Linked DNA regions of Notamacropus eugenii. The protein of the gene in region 1 interacts with the protein of each later gene in a biochemical or structural test. Links are inferred from orthologs where the notes say so. Each region holds a gene or a part of one and is shown on either strand. Other genes may lie near its edges. The genes, in order: ERBB2, SUPT6H and SRC.

The links.
Region 2: the proteins of ERBB2 (region 1) and SUPT6H form a complex in vitro, tested with the Homo sapiens proteins (2 studies listed by BioGRID and IntAct, with this or other methods). The link is inferred for Notamacropus eugenii from reciprocal best matches to the Homo sapiens genes ERBB2 and SUPT6H.
Region 3: the proteins of ERBB2 (region 1) and SRC form a complex in vitro, tested with the Homo sapiens proteins (3 studies listed by BioGRID, with this or other methods). The link is inferred for Notamacropus eugenii from reciprocal best matches to the Homo sapiens genes ERBB2 and SRC.

Annotation. Positions count from the first base shown.
Region 1 is NC_092873.1:355,231,279-355,237,021, reverse strand, and holds the start of ERBB2 (receptor tyrosine-protein kinase erbB-2), read right to left. Parts: upstream 3,896-5,743; 5' UTR 3,586-3,895; coding exon 3,513-3,585; intron 1-3,512. UniProt on the Homo sapiens protein: Protein tyrosine kinase that is part of several cell surface receptor complexes, but that apparently needs a coreceptor for ligand binding. Essential component of a neuregulin-receptor complex, although neuregulins do not interact with it alone.
Region 2 is NC_092873.1:36,066,807-36,072,549, reverse strand, and holds the start of SUPT6H (transcription elongation factor SPT6), read right to left. Parts: upstream 3,890-5,743; 5' UTR 3,768-3,889; intron 1-3,767. Other genes in the region: SDF2 (stromal cell-derived factor 2), read left to right, coding at 4,176-4,338.
Region 3 is NC_092872.1:427,960,517-427,966,259, forward strand, and holds the start of SRC (proto-oncogene tyrosine-protein kinase Src), read left to right. Parts: upstream 1-2,599; 5' UTR 2,600-2,630; intron 2,631-5,743. UniProt on the Homo sapiens protein: Non-receptor protein tyrosine kinase which is activated following engagement of many different classes of cellular receptors including immune response receptors, integrins and other adhesion receptors, receptor protein tyrosine kinases, G protein-coupled receptors as well as cytokine receptors.

The DNA.
Region 1 (5,743 bases):
TTAGAGATGGGTTTTGAACTCAGATTCTCTGGCTCCACCATCAGTTCTTTCTATTGTACTGAGCTGCTTGCCTTATGTTTTGATAGGTCCTACTAATATGATATCCTCATTCCTGACCAATCTCTTTCTTTCTCATGTATGGTCCTCCATGATGACACTCGGCAACTACCAGGGTTTACTCCTCCTAGAAGGAATCAGACCCTAGAAGGATCTTCTCATTTTCTTCCACTTCACCAACAATCTCTAGACCAGTGCAATTCCTAATCCCAAACACCTGCTTTCAGGAGGGAGTTTGGGGTGAGTTTTCAACACTACCCCCATGGTAGAAGAACTCTCCATGCTTCAGAGAGACCCAGTCCCTTAATAATGCCTGCTCTGCCCTCACTTGCTGCCCCCTCCTCTCTGCTTTTCTCTCCCCTGTCTTCCGCCCCAGTTGTTTCACTCCCACCCACACCCCAAAGACTTCCTGCCATCCTCAACAACAGTGACCCCCCCCCCCCAATTCCAACAAGTCTTCCTGACCAGTGAACAGAATTCTGTTCATGGAACATGGATCCTTTCCTGTTCCTTTTCCCCTTTGCCCAATCAACTGAAGACAAGGGAGATGAAATTGTGTGTACTAAAGAAGCATGGGCAATAAAGAGATGCCAACATAAATGATTGCTGCTGAAGGTGGGAGGTGGAGGAGAGATGGTGGTTGATGAAGAGAATCATTCAATTTCTTTTCTCACTGAGAGGACTTCTGAGACTCACCCAGCAAACACTGCTCCAATGCTGTGAGACGAGAATGGATGTATCATGAGCCCTATTTTTATACATGAGGAAATTGTGGCTCCAGCAAGGTTGTTGCAGAGTCCAGAGTCACACAGCTAACAAGCTCCATAGATGGCATTTGAACCCAGGACTTTCTGGCTTAAGTCCAGCATTTTATATTACACCAGAGGGCAAAGGCTGTTTATCTGGGGTCCATGAACCATGGGTTTTTTGGGGGGGAAGGTGTCCATGAACTTGGATGGAGAAAAAAAATGCAGTTATTTCCATTAACTTCTAACTGAAATATAACATCTTTAAATGATTTAAAAACACTGTTCTGAAAAGGGATTCATAGGTTTCATCATACTGTCTAAGGGGTCCAAGGTTGCAACAGAGGTGAAGAACTTCCACGACTTGGGCAAGACAATGCCTTCCTTTTTTTTTTTTTTTTTTTTTTGGTCCCTTGGAAGACTAGACAACTGGGTCAGAATTATTTTTCTAGAAAAAGAGAAATGGCACTCTTCAGGATGCTGCCTTTAGGGAAAGTGAATTTGGGACTGTGACTGACTCTCAGTCTCACAAGTTAGTCATCGATGACAAAATCAAAGTATTTTATTTTGACCTTTGAAATGCAATGAATTTATCTTCCCCATTATACTTTACTTAATACTTAAATGAGTTTACTTCCCTGGAGCACAACCACTAATGCGGGGGAGGGAATGGTGGATAATAGGGGAGCCAACCTCAGTATTAATAATCATAAGCATAAGCTGTAGATAATACACAAATTGAGAATTTACATGGCTTTCAAAGTCAATAATTCCTCAGCCTATGAGATAGGATTCTGGCAAAAGTCTGACCTCTCTGCCTTTTATTCACTCCCCTTGCCCAGACTCTGAAGTCCCTCCTCAATGCCCCTTCCTGTAGCCTCACAGGTAGTTTCCTTTAGGTAGAATTACCTATGACATATCCTTACAGTATGCTGCCCCTGAAGAGACGGGATAGGGAGCAACTTGTATGAAGAACTGACCCTTTGACTATCCCTTCCCCTCCTTCCTCAATACCCCCCATCCCCAACATATTCATCTCCTTTCTCCTTTGAACAGGTCCATCAAGGATTTTTTAAAAATATGAGCATAAGAACAGTAGTAGGGAAACCTGTGGAAACTGAGGCACAAAGGTAAAGAAACTGAGGCAGGGAGAGAACTATAGACCCATATTACCAACATAACAGAAGCTCCCATCAGGCCTCCTTTCTTGGTCACCCAGTTTTTTCAGCAGTTGAACAAAAACATAGTTTCAAGAATCCAGATTACACACTAACTGTCCTGCCTTAGCCAGAATATTAGAGTCTGAAGAGATTCTGGATTGCGGGTCGGGAAGCTAAACATGTGGGGTCAGAGAGGGAGAGCTAAGTACTATGTTCTGGATCCAAATGGAGAGGATGGGATACATTTATTTGGGGCTTTCCAGCAAACCTGACTCAGTCATCTCAAAGATCCTGGGTATGCAAAGAGCACAGTTCCCCAGAACCCAAGTTATGGAGTCAGCGTTGTTTGGTAACACAAAGGAACACACACATACAGACAAAACAGACTTACAGACATTGAGACACACACAGACCCCGCCCCCAGAGGCACATAGAGAGAGACTCAACATCCGCCAAGATCCTCTCCTCAAGTGTATGCTGCCCTCAACAGCCTTCAGTCCTATCCCACCTCATCCCTTTCTCCCTCCACCCTCAATGAAGGAAAAGGCCAAACCAAAAGCAACAGCCCTTACCCTTTCAGCTCCAAGTGGTCCCTTTTAGTTTGCCAAGTCCCCAACCTTTGGAATTCTCCCCCATGCCCCAAGACCACCCCAGAACCCCTCTTTATGTCCCATCCCTTACACCTGCCGAGTTAAGCCCAACAAAATTAAGCCTTTCTCTCCTTCCCAGACTGGCCCAGAAGAAATTTATTCAAAACAACTGTCTCCCCTACCCGCCCCCTCTTTTCTTCCGTCTCTAGGCCTCCCTCCCCACACTAGTGAGTGTGGTAACATCCAAGCAAACCTACAACCTTCTTCTCTCCCCACTCCTGGTCCAACTGGTTATCTCTCTGCCCCCTCCCAACCCCACCCCCCCAGCCCAAGGCAGAATTGGAGTAGTAACAACCTGAGGTAGAGAGTGGGTGGGGGGGCAGGAGAGGAGGGAGGATTGAAGAACAAATTAGGACCCCCCCCCCCCCCCCCAGAAAGCCAGCCCAGCCCAGTTCAGTCTGGAGATTAGTGGCTGTGGATTTTAAGAGTCAAACAGAAGGAACATATGAACGCGAATACACAAACGCACGCGCGCGCGCGCGCGCACACACACACACACACACACACACACACACACACACACACACAAAACTTAGCAGGACTTTTTTCCCCCTTCTGGTCAATTCTGTAAAACTTTTTGACTATTTCCCCGTTTGACAAGAGCTGGCTGGGACCCAAGCCCTATGTCGGGCCCCTTCAATGTAACTTTACCCCCTGCCCTATCTACCTCCCTGATCTGGCTTCATCTCTCTGACTTCATCCCCCCAGGCCCTCCCGGGAGTCCCCCTTCCCCCGGAGGCTTGGTCATATTTCTTCTCTATTGACTCCCATGCTTTCTAAATCTTTGCTTTCCTCACTCCCACTCCTCATCCCTGTCAAATGTGCCCCTAAGTTTTTCTTCCCCTTGAGAATTCTTTGCAGGAAAGGGCTGCAGACAGTTCTCTCCCAGTCGGACTCACCTTGGGTTCCCCAGACTGCTGGGGGCAGGAGGACCAGAAGGAGCCCCCAACAGCAGCAGCCCGACAGATCCATAGTCCTCACTTCGGCCCGGGGCCCATGGCTCCCAGGCTCAGGAGGAGGACCGATGGAACCTAAGAGCTGGGAGATAAGGGGATCCTGGGAAGCACCCCAATCCGGGCAGGAATCCCCTTGAGCGAGTCACTGGCTCAGTGGAGGTATTTTTCTTCTTTGCTGACTTCTCTCTTTTAGCCAGGATTGCAGGGGAATCTCAGCTCTACAACTTCATTCCTGTAGTTCCTCAAAGCAGTCACTGCTTGTCCTCCTCCTCCTCCTCCTCCTCCTCCTCCTCCTCCTCCTCCTCCTCCTCCTCCTTCTCGGGAGCGCGCTGCTCGGTCTCGATCCCGCCCTCCCCCCCCCCCCCTCCCAACTACATTCCAACAAGTCTCTGGGAGTGGCAGTGGCTGCTCCCAGCTTTACTTTCTATCTCCCTGGGTAGGCCTGGGGGTGCCTCAATCTCCCCTGAATCTAGAGACTTTTTTAGAAACCTGTTGTTCCTGGAAGGAGGGGTTGGGGACAGACGGGATACTTTACTTTTGCCATCACCAGGCTTTCCCAGTCTACTGTTACACAACCCTCTAATCTGGAGGGAACCCTAATCAAGGCTGCCTTTCCCCATCTTCTCCTAACCCAGGCTCCCCTTCCCTTTATTAACAAGCTCCATTCCTTTCCCCCATGCTCATCCTCATCTCAATTATCTACTCCAACCCTTTCTTCTAGAACAGGGATTCTTAACTATTTTTGTGTCATGGACCCCCTTTGGCAGCCTAATGAAGCCAATGGAGCCCTTCTTAGAATAATGTTTTTATGTAACTGAAGGAAATGCTAAATTTCAGTTAGATTAGAAGTTAGTGAAAATAAAAGATTTCTTTTTCCCCATCCAAGGTCACAGACCTCCTGAAATGTCTACAGAGCCCTTGGTCTGTGGATGGATCGCAAATTCCAGTTCTTTTGTGGAAGGATAGGGAAGGGAATATACTAAGTTTGAGATATTCTAGGCATCCTCTTCTCAGGCTCTGAGAGAAAAAGGCAGTAACTCAGGCTCAGAAAAGTGACTACTACAAGGTGGGGAAGGGACAGATTTAGTTAATGTTAGTTAAGCAGCCCCCTCAATTTGGTGTCGGACCGAGGCTGCCTCACATGGGTCTCTGTTCAGAGCCTTCTGTATAAGTCTCTCTGGGCCCAGGATTCGTCCATTTGGGGATTTTCTGCGAGTTTTCTCTTTTGAAGATTCTGTGGAGTGTCTGTATGTCCCTTTGTTCACTGTCTTTATGTGGAACTTCTCTGCCCAAGGCATCCTCCATACGTTTAGGGTCTCCTTTGTGAGGTATGTACCCATCTGGGGAGTCTCTGTGCAGAATTCCTTTGGGGGGAATGTCTCTGATGGTCTATAGACTCTCTCTGGGTCCAGAGTCCCTTTTATGGGGCTTCTGTTTCAGGTCCCCTTCATCCCATAAGGATTCTTTAGGTCCTCAGAGTTCTTTCTCTCCAGAGCTCTTTTTTTTTTTCCTAACCAGGATGCTCCTGGTAGGGGAGAAGCAAGGCTATTCCAGTCCATGGTGGGGGGAATATGGGACACACAGAACAAAGATAAACACAAGGATAGCTGTTATTGTCAGTGAAATCTGACTGGCTCACACAGGAGATTTGAAGCCTAGGGAAAGTGAGGGTGTGGGGAGCTGAGTGATACCATCTTAATGAGGGAGAAAGTGTAAAAAGTAAGAGTTGCCCCCCCCCCTTTCCCTATTCTTACTTCTGTTCTCATCCTCCTCCTTCTCCCCAGTTTTCCACTCTATGTGTGAGCTGGGGTGGGAGCAGACTAGGAAGACCAACTAGGTGGGGTAGATGTTAGGCTTTGATTCAGCCTCAATAGTAAGAAATCAAGGACCCCATCAGTGTCCTCTCTGACCAGAAACCATTGGTTACCTATGAAAACCTTGAGGGTGAGGGTGTTAGAACACACGACAAATGGAGCCATTGCAGACCACTTCTTTTGCCTAGGTCGCCTCCTTCCAGACCAGAGTCACCCTCCTAGCCAGAAGTCTTCATTGGAAAAACAATGAGGTGTCAGTGGCTGGCTGAGGAGGAAGGAGGGAGGCAAAAAGAGGGGAGGGGTTAGACAGACAAGAGGGTGGGGGGGGGGGAGGAGGAGCTGAAGTTAGATCTCTGTTCC
Region 2 (5,743 bases), about 320 Mb from region 1:
GCACTACATACTGGGCCAGTGTGCATATTCCACTAACAGGTAATTACTTTAAATTCTGGAATCTTGTTATTGGCAGAACAGAAACTCCTGAGGGTAGAACCGCTTTTGTCTTCTATTATCACAGCCCAGCTGAATGCAAATTGCACTGCAAAATGCATGAATTGCAAACAGCAGCAGTTTAATAAATTTTGAAATGTAAAAATTTGAAAGAATACTCCAGTCCCAGTAATTGAGCTGAATAACGTTTCATCTATAATAACCAGGTAATGGTTATTATATGGTAGGTAACGCAAGGATTTGTGCTCCCTACATTTCAGAGAAGGACACTAAAGTCAAGAAAGATTACCATCTTGCCTGAGATCACTGAGCTAGCACCAGTCTTCATTCTCCATGACCAAGGTATTAAAACCCTCAAAGGTTAATAACTCCAACTGGACTTTCTAGTTGACATATAGCTAAAAGATTTAGCCACACAATATCAATTGATGAGGACCTAAAAAATGACCAATTTAGCCCAGTACCTAGCACAAAGACTTTAATAAATGCCTTACCTAATCTAAATTTAGATCAAAGTTCTTAAAGTAAAAATCTGATTACTATTACCAACAATAATCTAAAAAGCCATTTTCTTTTCCAAAATCCAACTAGTTTAAGTCCTAAAGATTGGAATCTCTTCCTCATTTAATATGGCACATAGACTCAGACACACTGCACATTTCACCAGACTCTAAAAGTGATCGACTCTCAAGTCTGTCAGGGTAGAGAACTTGGATTAGCTGACTGAAGCCTGGGACAAATAGAAGCTTCTCCCTCAAACAGGAACCTGTCTAGTTAGACTTCAATACACAGATTCCAAAAAGGGAACAATACTAGAGTTAATCTGACTCTTTGCATTCAGACTACTTAAACCAACGGTCATTAATTATTTCCATTACAGTCATTTTGGCTGGATGTATCGGTCAGATCAAATATTTGTTCCATCTAGAATCAAGATAGCCAGAGAACTGAGATGAGGACTCTTTAATAATATAACAACTATTTCAGAGAAGTATGGGAACAATGTTTTCCCACAAGAGTCAGTTAAACTGCATATTCTTCCTCCAGGGCTTTTAGTACCTGTATAACTACTAACTAACTCTCACAGAAATAATGACAAACTCCCAAGGTGGTGGCTCAGGATGTCTGGGGCAGCAGACAAGAGTTAAGGAGAGGGAGGAAGGGCAGGAATAGAAATGAAAAAAGCATTGGATATACAGTTAAAGAGTATGGGGTCCAAGTTTGGTGTCACTTATTATCTGGAGGAACCATAGAACCTTGGCAGGTAAGCCCCCCTATCTCCTTTCCCTCAAAAGACTGGGCTCTCCCTAGAAGTGCATGGGCCACTTGGGACTTGATCCCACTGATGGCCAAACTTCTTTAACCTGCTCCTTTTCTGACCTGGGCCAGTTCATCCTTCTTTAGGTCACCTAGTGGGCCCTTATTCCCGGGGAGTTCACTACATCAAGGCCAAATTTAGTGCTGCACAGCCCAATGCAGCTCAAGAGATCCAGCCTCCCCAGTAGCAGGGATTAGACATGGCCAGACTACCACTGGGCCAATGAGTTCTAAATGCCAACTCCAAGGGCATTTTCTCCTTTTTAATCCTGATCCTTCTTAACCTCAAAGCTGTATTTGATACTACTGTTCATCTTCTTTTCTCTAAAGGTTTTTGTGACTCAGCTCTGTCTAGGTTCTTCCCCTCTGTCCAACAATTGCTTCTTGTCTTTGCCAGATCATGCCCACTGTGAGTATCCCACAACAGTATATCCTGCATCTCCTTCTATTTTAACTCACTTTGTGCTTTCATTAGCTCCCATGAGTTCAATTATAATTTCTATACAGATGACTCCTGGCTCTATGTATTCAACCCCAGTTTCTCTGCTGAGCTAATCATCTTTCTCCAACTGGATCTTGGGTATCTTGGGCTGTCCCACAAGTATCTCAAATATAACAAAACCAAAACACAATCCATTATATTCCCCCCCTTTAAATTTCCCTATTACTGTTGAGGCTACCAACAACCTCCCAGTTACCCAGCTTCTCCCTCTCACCCACCCCAGCTAAGTAATCCATTGCCAAATCTTATTGTTTCTATTTTGCAAAATTTAATACATTTCTCAAATTTGTCTTTTTCTCTTCATCAACACAGCCACAAATTAATTACCTCTTTTCTGCACTATAGGAATAACCTTCTAACTAGTCTCCCTGCTTCAAATCTTTTCCTACTCCAATGCATCCTAGGGGCAGCTAAGCAGTGCAGTAGATAGACCACCAGTGCAGGAGTCAGGAGGACCTGAGGTCAAATCTCATCTCAGACACTTGACACTCACTAGCTGTGTGACCTTGGGCAAGTCACTTCACCCCAACTGCCTCATCCTGGGTCATCTCCAGTCATTCTGATGAATATCTGGTCACTGGATTCAGATGGCTCTGGAGAAGAAGTGAGGCTGGTGACCTGCACAGCCCTCCCTCACTCAGAACAAAGTCAAGTGCAAGTCATGTCTTCATTTCTCTGATGGCGTGGACCTCTTGGGCAAGCAAGGAGGAACACACTCCAGTGCATCCTAAGCTGCCAAGGTGATTTTCTTACATTGCAGATAGGAAAATCTGTCCCTTCCCTGGTCAACGAGCTCCAGCGACTCCATATCATCTCCCGGAATAAACATAAAATCTGACATTTAAAGCTCTTCACAAGCCGGCTCCTTCCTACCTGTTCAGCAAGGATTCAATAGTGCAGCGGGCCACCCTGACCTACTTCCAGTTCCTCAGACATACCGCTCAGTCTCCCCTCTCCTTCTCCCCTACGGTGGGGGTGGACCGTGGCCTGTCACAGACGTCCCCCAGGCCGGGAATGCTCAGTCTCCTGCCTTTTCCTCCGAGTTTCCGGGCTTCCTACCAGAGGCAGCTCAAATCCCACCTTACAAAAGAGGCCTTTCCCAAGCCGCAGCGGCTAGCTAGAACCTTCCCACTTCAGACGACCTCCACCCACTCTGGAGTACCTGCAGCATACCTGCTTCCTCCAATAGAAGGTACACGCCTCCTCTCGGCCTCCCCACCACTTAGCACGGCACTTGGCACCCAGTAAGTACTTAGTACACGCTAACACACCGAAGGATCCCTCGGGCCTCTCTCCGGCCAGCACCTAGCTGGTACAGTCTCTAGCACGGACCTCCCCAGTTGGACTGGGGGTTCCTTGAGGGCAGGGACTGGGTGTTGGCCTTTCTTTGCCCTTTCTCTGTAACTCGGGCGCTGGGCACGGGTTGGTACACAGTAAGCGCCACACTGATGCAGGCGATGCTGACAGGCACGCACACACGAGACCCCGGAGGTCTGAGCTTGGCCTCCGGGGCCATTTAAAGGTCCCTCCCCCGCCCGGCGGCGTGGGTAACTCGAGCCGAGCCAGGGGCTGCGACCTCCGGCAGACACAGCGGAGGGACACGGGAATGCCCCCGAAAGGCCGACACCCTCCACGAGGTCCCCCCGCACCCGCAGGCGGAACCAGGCCCAGGCACCGCCCGCCACCCCGGGAGGCGTCTCCCCAGCTTCTGGGAGCCGGGGGACCCCAAGGACTCAACAAGTGGCGGGCGGGGGCCGCCCAGCCGAGAAGGCGTGTGCGGGGGGGCGCCCCAGCGGCGAGTCCCGCGCCCCTCAGGGTCCCCCGCCCCGCCCCGCCGCACCCCGGACCACCCACGCAGTCCCCCCACGCCGAGCCCCGACCCCGGCCTTACCGAGCCCGCCGCAGCGCCGAGCCTCCGAGGAAAATGGAGTCGCCGCTTGGCAGAGTCACGGAAAGCGAGTCCGGGGGCCCCCACACCGACGTGCCCCCTCCCCGACGCCCGCGGCCGCCGCGGCGTCTGAGGTCACTTCCGGTGCGCTGTCACTGAGAGCAGGCGGCCCTCTCCCCCGCCACTCGGAGGGACGGGCTGTTCTCTGGGGCTGGAGCAGGCGAAGGGAAACTAGGACCGCGGCAGGAAAGCGGCCGCCGGCGGCCTCCGCGTGGGGGCGTGCGTGAGCAGGAGGCAGGCGAGTCCGGCCGTTTCCTCCGGGCGCTCTAGCGAGACGGGGCATAGAGAGCGGAGGCCTGGCCCCGCCCACTGCTTCCGGTTCCGGGGTGGGGCCGTGTTTCCGTCAGGGCGATGGGGCGGCGGGGCCCGGCGGGGCAGCTGCTGCTGTTTGCGGGGTTGCTGGGCCTGGCTGGAGCTTCCGACCTGCCCTTCGTCACCTGCGGCTCTGTCGTGAAGCTCCTCAACACGCGCCACAACGTCCGGCTGCACTCTCATGACGTACACTACGGGTCCGGTGAGCCCACGGGGCGGGGCCGGGAAGAGGAAAGAATGGAAAAAGTCCCCTCCCGGGGGCGGAACTTGGCCTGGGGGATCCCCGGGGACTGGGCCTAGGTGCATTCGAGGCGGAAGGGGAGGGGGGAACCATTGGGAGGCGGGGCCTGGGGCGGAAAAACACGTGGGTGGGAGGAGGAGCCCTGAACTTCGAGGAATCTGGAAGGGACGGAGCAACGCGTGGGGGCGGGGCTTGGAGGAGTCGCGGGGAGGAGGGGACGGGAAGGCTTCCGGACTCTGGCCCAGCTGGGTGGACAGGAAGAGGAGGAAGGGAATGGGGGGAAGAAGGAGAGCCAGGCCCCGGCCGTGGCGAACGAGTGTCCTCACTAGGCTGGTGGGGGAGGCGCAGCGTACCCCTCCAATCTGCATGTCCCTCCTTCCGTTGAGACTAGTTGAAAGATTTCTTGCATCTGTCTTCTCTCACGCAGCCATCCCCTTTGTTCAGGTGACTGTTGCTGGAAGCTTCTGTCCCGTTTTCTCCCCTCTCTCACCCATCCTCTACACACAGCTATCTAAATAATCTTTTTCTTTTTCAATATTTTTTCCAGGTGCGTGTAATTACAATTTTTGACATTCTTTTAAAAACAATTTTTGAGCACTTAATTCCATCCTGTCTTTAAGAAGGCAAGCAATTTGGTATAAATTATATATATCAAAATAATCTGAAAAAACTGGCATGAATATGATGATCTTCAGCTCAAAAAATTTCAGGGATTCTAATTTTTTTTTAAGGTAAAATGACAAATTCCTTGTTTTAGCATTATTTTTCTTTGTGTCCCCAGCACTTAGGAGAGTACCTGACATATGGTAAATGCTTAACACGTTTATTGCTTGATTTACAATCTGGCTCTAGCCAGTCTTTCCAGACTGATTTCAAATGACAAGCCAATTAACTTTCCTGGGCTTCAGTTTCCTTGTTTGTAAAATCAACGGGTTTGCATTAGAGGGCGTCTAATTCACTCTGTTTGTGATCATAAGAATTGAATTTCTGTGGAGGACACCACTGGGCTTCCTTGGTCACCCAGGTTTACCATCTCAGAGTCAACCCTTCACAGCCAGTCATTTGCTGACAGGGATTCTACCTCCACCAGCTCTCACCCCTGCCCTCTTCTCTCCACTCACTGCTAACACTCTAGTTCCAGACCTCAGTTTCATCTCTCCTAGACTTTAGATGAAGCCTTCTTGGCCCCCTTGCTTCCTGTCTCTTCCTTCAGCAGGCTCCCGGATTAGCATATCTGAAACACAGGCTGACTTTAGTCACTCCCCTACTCCTAAATCTTCAATGGCTCCCTATTGACTCTATGCTGAAATGCAAACACCTCAGCCTGGTCTTTAAAAACCTTCATAATCTGACTCTCACCTATCTT
Region 3 (5,743 bases), on another chromosome or scaffold:
ACCTTGAGCTTTAAGAAAATCATTTTGGAAAGTGAGTTGAGGATGGATTGGAGTGAGGAGAGATTTGAGGTAGGGAGAACAGTTAGTGTGTGTGAGAGGTAGTAAGGACCTGAACCATGGGGATGAGTATGTGAGTGGAGAGAAGGGGACATATATAAGATGTTTTGACGGTTGAATGATAAGATTTAACAACAAATTGGATATGTGGAGTGAGTGAAGGTGAGGAGGCAGAGATAACAAGGCTGCAGTCCTGGGTACCCAGGAGGATGGTTGTGCCCTTAATAGAAATAGTGAAGTTCAGAAGAGAGGACAGTTTGAGGGAAGAGATAACGAGTTCTCTTTTGAATATAATGAGTTTGAGGTGCCTAAAAGAAAATTGATTTCAAAATGTCTTAAACCCAGTTGGTGATGCAGGGAGAGATGAGTTCAGGAGAGAGACTGGAATCATCTGCATACAAATGATCACTGAACCCTGGGAAGTTGATGAGATTACCAAGTAAGACAGTATAGAGGGAAAAGAAAAGAGGGCCCAGGGCAGTGCAGGGCAAATAGACTACTTGTTGTTGTGTGAACTTGGGCAAATTACTTATTCTCTCTGGACCCCAATTTCTTCATCTGTAAAATTTATAAAATTCAAGGGTCTCAAAGGTCTCTCCCAATTCTAAATCAGCGCTTGTGTGAGCTAGAGGGAAAATTGACAAAGGAATAGTCAGTCAGACAGGAAAGGAACCACAAAAGATGAGGGTCACAAAAACCTACAGAAGAAAGAATATCATGGAAGAGAAAGTGATGAACAGTAGAAAATGATGAAGAGAGGTCAAGAAGAATTGAAGAGAGGCCTTTAGATTTGGCAATTAAATCATAGGTACTTTTGGAAAGGTTTTAGTTGAGTTATTAGGTAAGAATCCAGATTGCAGAGAGTTTAGAAGTGAGTGGAGAAGTGGAGTGAGAGATAGGGATCACCTTAAGTCCAATTTTCCTTGTTTTACTGATAGGGAAACTGAGGCTAAAAGAGGGAACATTAACTTGTCCAGAAGTATTTCCTTTCCTGGTCCTCTGTTTTTGTTTATGATGTGACCTTTTATGTCTAAATTATGTATCTGTTTGGAACTTATCTTGGTGTGTGGTATGAGATGCTGTTCTAATCTTAATTTGTCAGACTGCTTTTCCATTTTTGTTGAATAGTGAGCCCTTACCCTAATAATTGGTATTATTGAACATTAAACAACTATGTTCATTTTCTTCTACATGTTGTGTAGTTAACCTGCTCTTCCCATTGATTTTTCTCTATTTTAAAACCAATACCAATTAGATTTAATATTTACTTTTTTGTAATATAGTTTGTGATCTGGTACTACTAGGACCCTTTCCTTCTCACCTCTTTTTCATTTTCCTTTGAGATTCTTAACCTTTTGTTTTTTGGTTGTTTTTTTTTTTTATATTTTAACTCTTAAAAAGTAATCCTTTACTAGTTTGGCATAGCATTAAACAAATTTATGAAAGATTGTCATTTTTACATTGGCACAACTTAACCATGAGAAATGAATATTTCTTCAATTATTTCTGTATGGGGTACTTTGTAGTTGCATTCATAGAATTCTTGTGAGTATCTTGTTACCTGGATTCCCAGTATTTTATATGTTCTTTAGTTATTTTGAATGGAATTTCTCTGTCTTCACTAGGTTTTATTGGTACTATATAGAAAACCTGATAATTTATGTGGATTTATTTCTGTATCACTTCATATAAATCTTTTCCATGCTTTTCTGTATTTATCAGAAATACATAATTTCTTATAGCACATTCATTTACTGTAATAAATATTTCATTACATTCATGTACCATAACTTGTTAGCCATTCCTCAGTTGATGGATATCTACTTTGTTTCCAGTTCTTTGCCATCACAAAAAGTACTGCTATAATGCTCGGGGTCAGGGCCCAAGCCCCCTGGATCCCCCTGACCCACGGGCCTCTAATCTGTGGGCCCTGAAGGAAGAAGACTGGAGACAAGATGATCCAAGCAACAACCCTTTATTCAGCTGAGGGTTAGGGTTTATAAAGGCTGATCCACCAATCACATACATGCTGAGCTCATCCCATTACTTCACCTTCTCATGACTATTCCACATCCTTACATCCCCAGTAAGTAAGGAAGCTTATCTTGTTCCTGCAGCTAGTTCCTGGGTTCCCAGGCTCACTTGTAACTTTACTGTACAGGACATCAGTGTCTGCAGGAACATCAGGTTCCAGGGTCACACAGAGCTTCTGCCAGGGTGTGCGTCAGCACCGTTCCCACGGGAACAGGCTTTGCCTCTGACTTGCACCCCCTGGGACCCTCTGGTCCCCTTACACTATAACTTCCTTAGGGTATAAGCCTAATAATGGTGTCTCTGATTCAGAGCATATGGACTTTTAAGTCACTTTATTTGCAGAATTCCAAATTGCTTTTTAACATGGTTGTGCCATTTCACAGCTCCAAAAATGTTTTGTTGTAGCCTCTGTGCTGATATTTTATTTAATGATTTTTCATCAATATTCATAAGTCATGCTGGTCTATAATTTACTTTCTCTGCTTTTTTTCTCCCTCGTTTAGGTACCAAGACTACGTTTATATCATAGAATATTTTTGGTAAGATATCTTTTTCCACTTTTGTGAATAGTTTACATAATATTGAAATTAATTGTTTTTTGAATATTTGACAAAATTCAATTTAAAAGCAATTTGGTCCTGGATATTCTTTCTTTTTATTTATAGCACTAAAAAGTTTTTTTTTAACTGAAATTATGTTATTAAAATTATCTATTTTTGTTGCATCAATCTAGATATATAATACTTTTATAAGTATTCTTTCATAGCATCTAAGTTATCCATTCTGTTGGCATATAATTGGCATAATCATTTTCATAATTTCCTTTATTTTACCTATATTATGAATTTTGCTTTTTAGATTTTGATACATACTGACAATTTGATTGTACACTCCTTTTTTAAAAACTCATATTAATTAACTTAAACTATGATATTTTTTAAAATAAGCTACTACTTTTAATTATCAGTTATTTTTTTTTTGCCTTCAATTTTGTTAATCTCCTTTGACTTTCCAAATTTCTGTTTCTGTGTTTAGTTCTTTTTTTTGTAATGCTTTTCTAGTTTTTTAAATTGCATACCAAATTCATTGTTCTGTTTTTTTCTTTCTTTTGTTGATGGGCATGTTTAGAGACTTTGTAACCAAATCATACTTTATTTGATTATGTCCTGGACATCATTGTATCCTAAGATTTCTTTATTGTTTAGAGCCTTCTTCTCTTTATTCATGTTTCTGGTTTAAATTCCTGAATCAAGAAATTTTGTCAGGGTCAGTCCCTGACTGCTCCTGTACACTTGGATGGGAGAGTGGTTCCCTCTTTTGGACTTTTTTTTGGATATATTTTTAAGTTAGATTTTAATACACTGGTAGCTGCCACCTCTGCTTATAGAAAAATTAGAGAAGTTTTGAGGGAAGAGAACAGTCAGAACACATGAAAGATTACAGTATATCCATTTATCCCTAAAGAATCCCATAATAATTAGACATTGCATTCCCCAGTTGATGAATGGTCAAAGGATATGAACAGGGAATTTTCAGAGGAAGAAATTAAAGGTATCTATAATTATATAAAAAAATGCTCTAAATCACTGTTGATTAGAGAGAAGTAAATCAAAACGACTCTGAGTTGCCACATCATACCTATCAGATTGGCTAACACGACAAAACAGGAAGATGATAAATGTTGGAGAAGATGTGGGAGAGTTGGAACACTAATTCATTGTTGGTGGAGCTGTGAGCTGATCCAACCATTCTGGAGAGCAATTTGGAACTATGCCCAAAGGGCTACAAAAATGTTTATACCCTTTGACCCAGCAATATCGCTTCTGGGACTGTATCCCAAAGAGATCATATAAATGGGAAAGGGTCCCACATGTACAAAAATATTTATAGCAGCACTCTTTGTGGTGGCCAAAAACTGGAAATCAAGGGGATGCCCATCAATTGGGGAATGGCTGAACAAGCTGTAGTATATGAATGTAATGGAATACTATTGTGCTGTGAGAAATGATGAACAGGAAGACTTCAGAGAGGCCTGGAAGGACTTATATGAACTGATGCTGAGTGAAAAGAGCACAGCAATAACCACAGTGTGTGAGGAATTTTTTTGGTAGACGTAGTATTTCATTAAAATGCACAGACTTAAAAAATTTGCAGTGGTGTCTTGAAGCAAAATGCCTTCCACATCCAGAGAAAGAACTATGGAATTGGATCTCAGATAGAAACAGATCGTTTTCTTTTGTATTGTGTTTTGTTTTGTTTTATGGTTTCTCCCATTCATTTTAATTCTTCTATGCAACATGCATTTAATAGGAATGTACGTGTAGAACCTGTATAAGATTGTATACCATCTCAGGGAGGGTGTGGGGAGGAAGGGGGGAATGAAGCGGAAGAAGTGGAAGAAAATCTAAGATATATGGAAGTGATTGTCAAACACTGAAAACAAATAAAATAATTCAGTTAAAAAATAATAAAATAAAATAAATAAAGACATTGAACAGATAGCTGTTAGGGCTAACAGTAATTGCCCTTGCTGCCAATCACTGGTAATTCTTTGGAATCAAAGGATTTTTTTTTTCTTTTGGAGAGATGTTTTCTTTTTACTTCTTAAATTTAAATTCTTTAAAATTTTAAAAACATTTTGTTTTTATTCTTAACTCAAACAGCAAAAAAGTTGATTCTGTATCACAAATCACCATTTCATACCATGTTCTTTTAAAATACATATGTAATTAATTCTCACATTATGTCAAAACTGTCCTGATTATCTATATTGCTTCCTGAACTTCCTTCCATAATCTTCCGTGCATTTAAAACATTGTTGCAGCTGTCTGTTTTGAAAATCACTATTGCTTCATCTTCAATGCTCCTCCCCATTAGAAACCTCAAGAAAGAAGGGGGAAAAACCCATGTTATAAATATGCATAGTAAAGTCAAATGAATCCATATGAAGTCCATGTAATAACAATGTATTTCTCTTTCTGTTTCTTGCTTCTATCACCTTTCTTTCAGGATATGGCTAGCATGGTTTATCATAGGTCCTCTAAAGAAGTCATTGAATTGATCAGAATTCTTAGGTCTTTCAGAGTTGTTTTTCTTTATAATGCTGCTATCCTTGTGTAAATTGTTCTCTTGGTTCTGCTCATTTCACTGTGCATCAGTTCATACTATCCAGGATTCTCCACAATTATCTCTTTTTTCTTATTTTATGTTGCAATTATATTCCATTATATAATATGCCACAGTTTGTTCAGCTATCCCCTAGTTGTCTAAGAGATAATCTAAGGCACACTCTTCCCTCTCAGAGTCTAGTATTTTTCATTTTTCTTCCTTTCATTTCTTTCTTCAGGATCAGGAAGTTCTTTGGTTTGTGATTACTCCTACCCTGTTATTACTCCCTCTCTTCATTCACTGACTCGTTATCCTCACTTGTTTTTCAATTTAATTTGATGTATTTCTGCAATAAACTGTGTGTGAGGGGGTGTGGCAGTATGTGTGTGTGTGTGTGTGTGTGTGTGTGTGTGTGTGTGTTTATATTTAACTCGTTTGAGTAAGGTTCTTCTGATAACCATTCCTTTGCCCCTTTCCTTCCTTCCTTTCAAATAAGGTTACTCTCATACATCCCAATTATGAAAAAAGTTTCACTCCCCCTTCT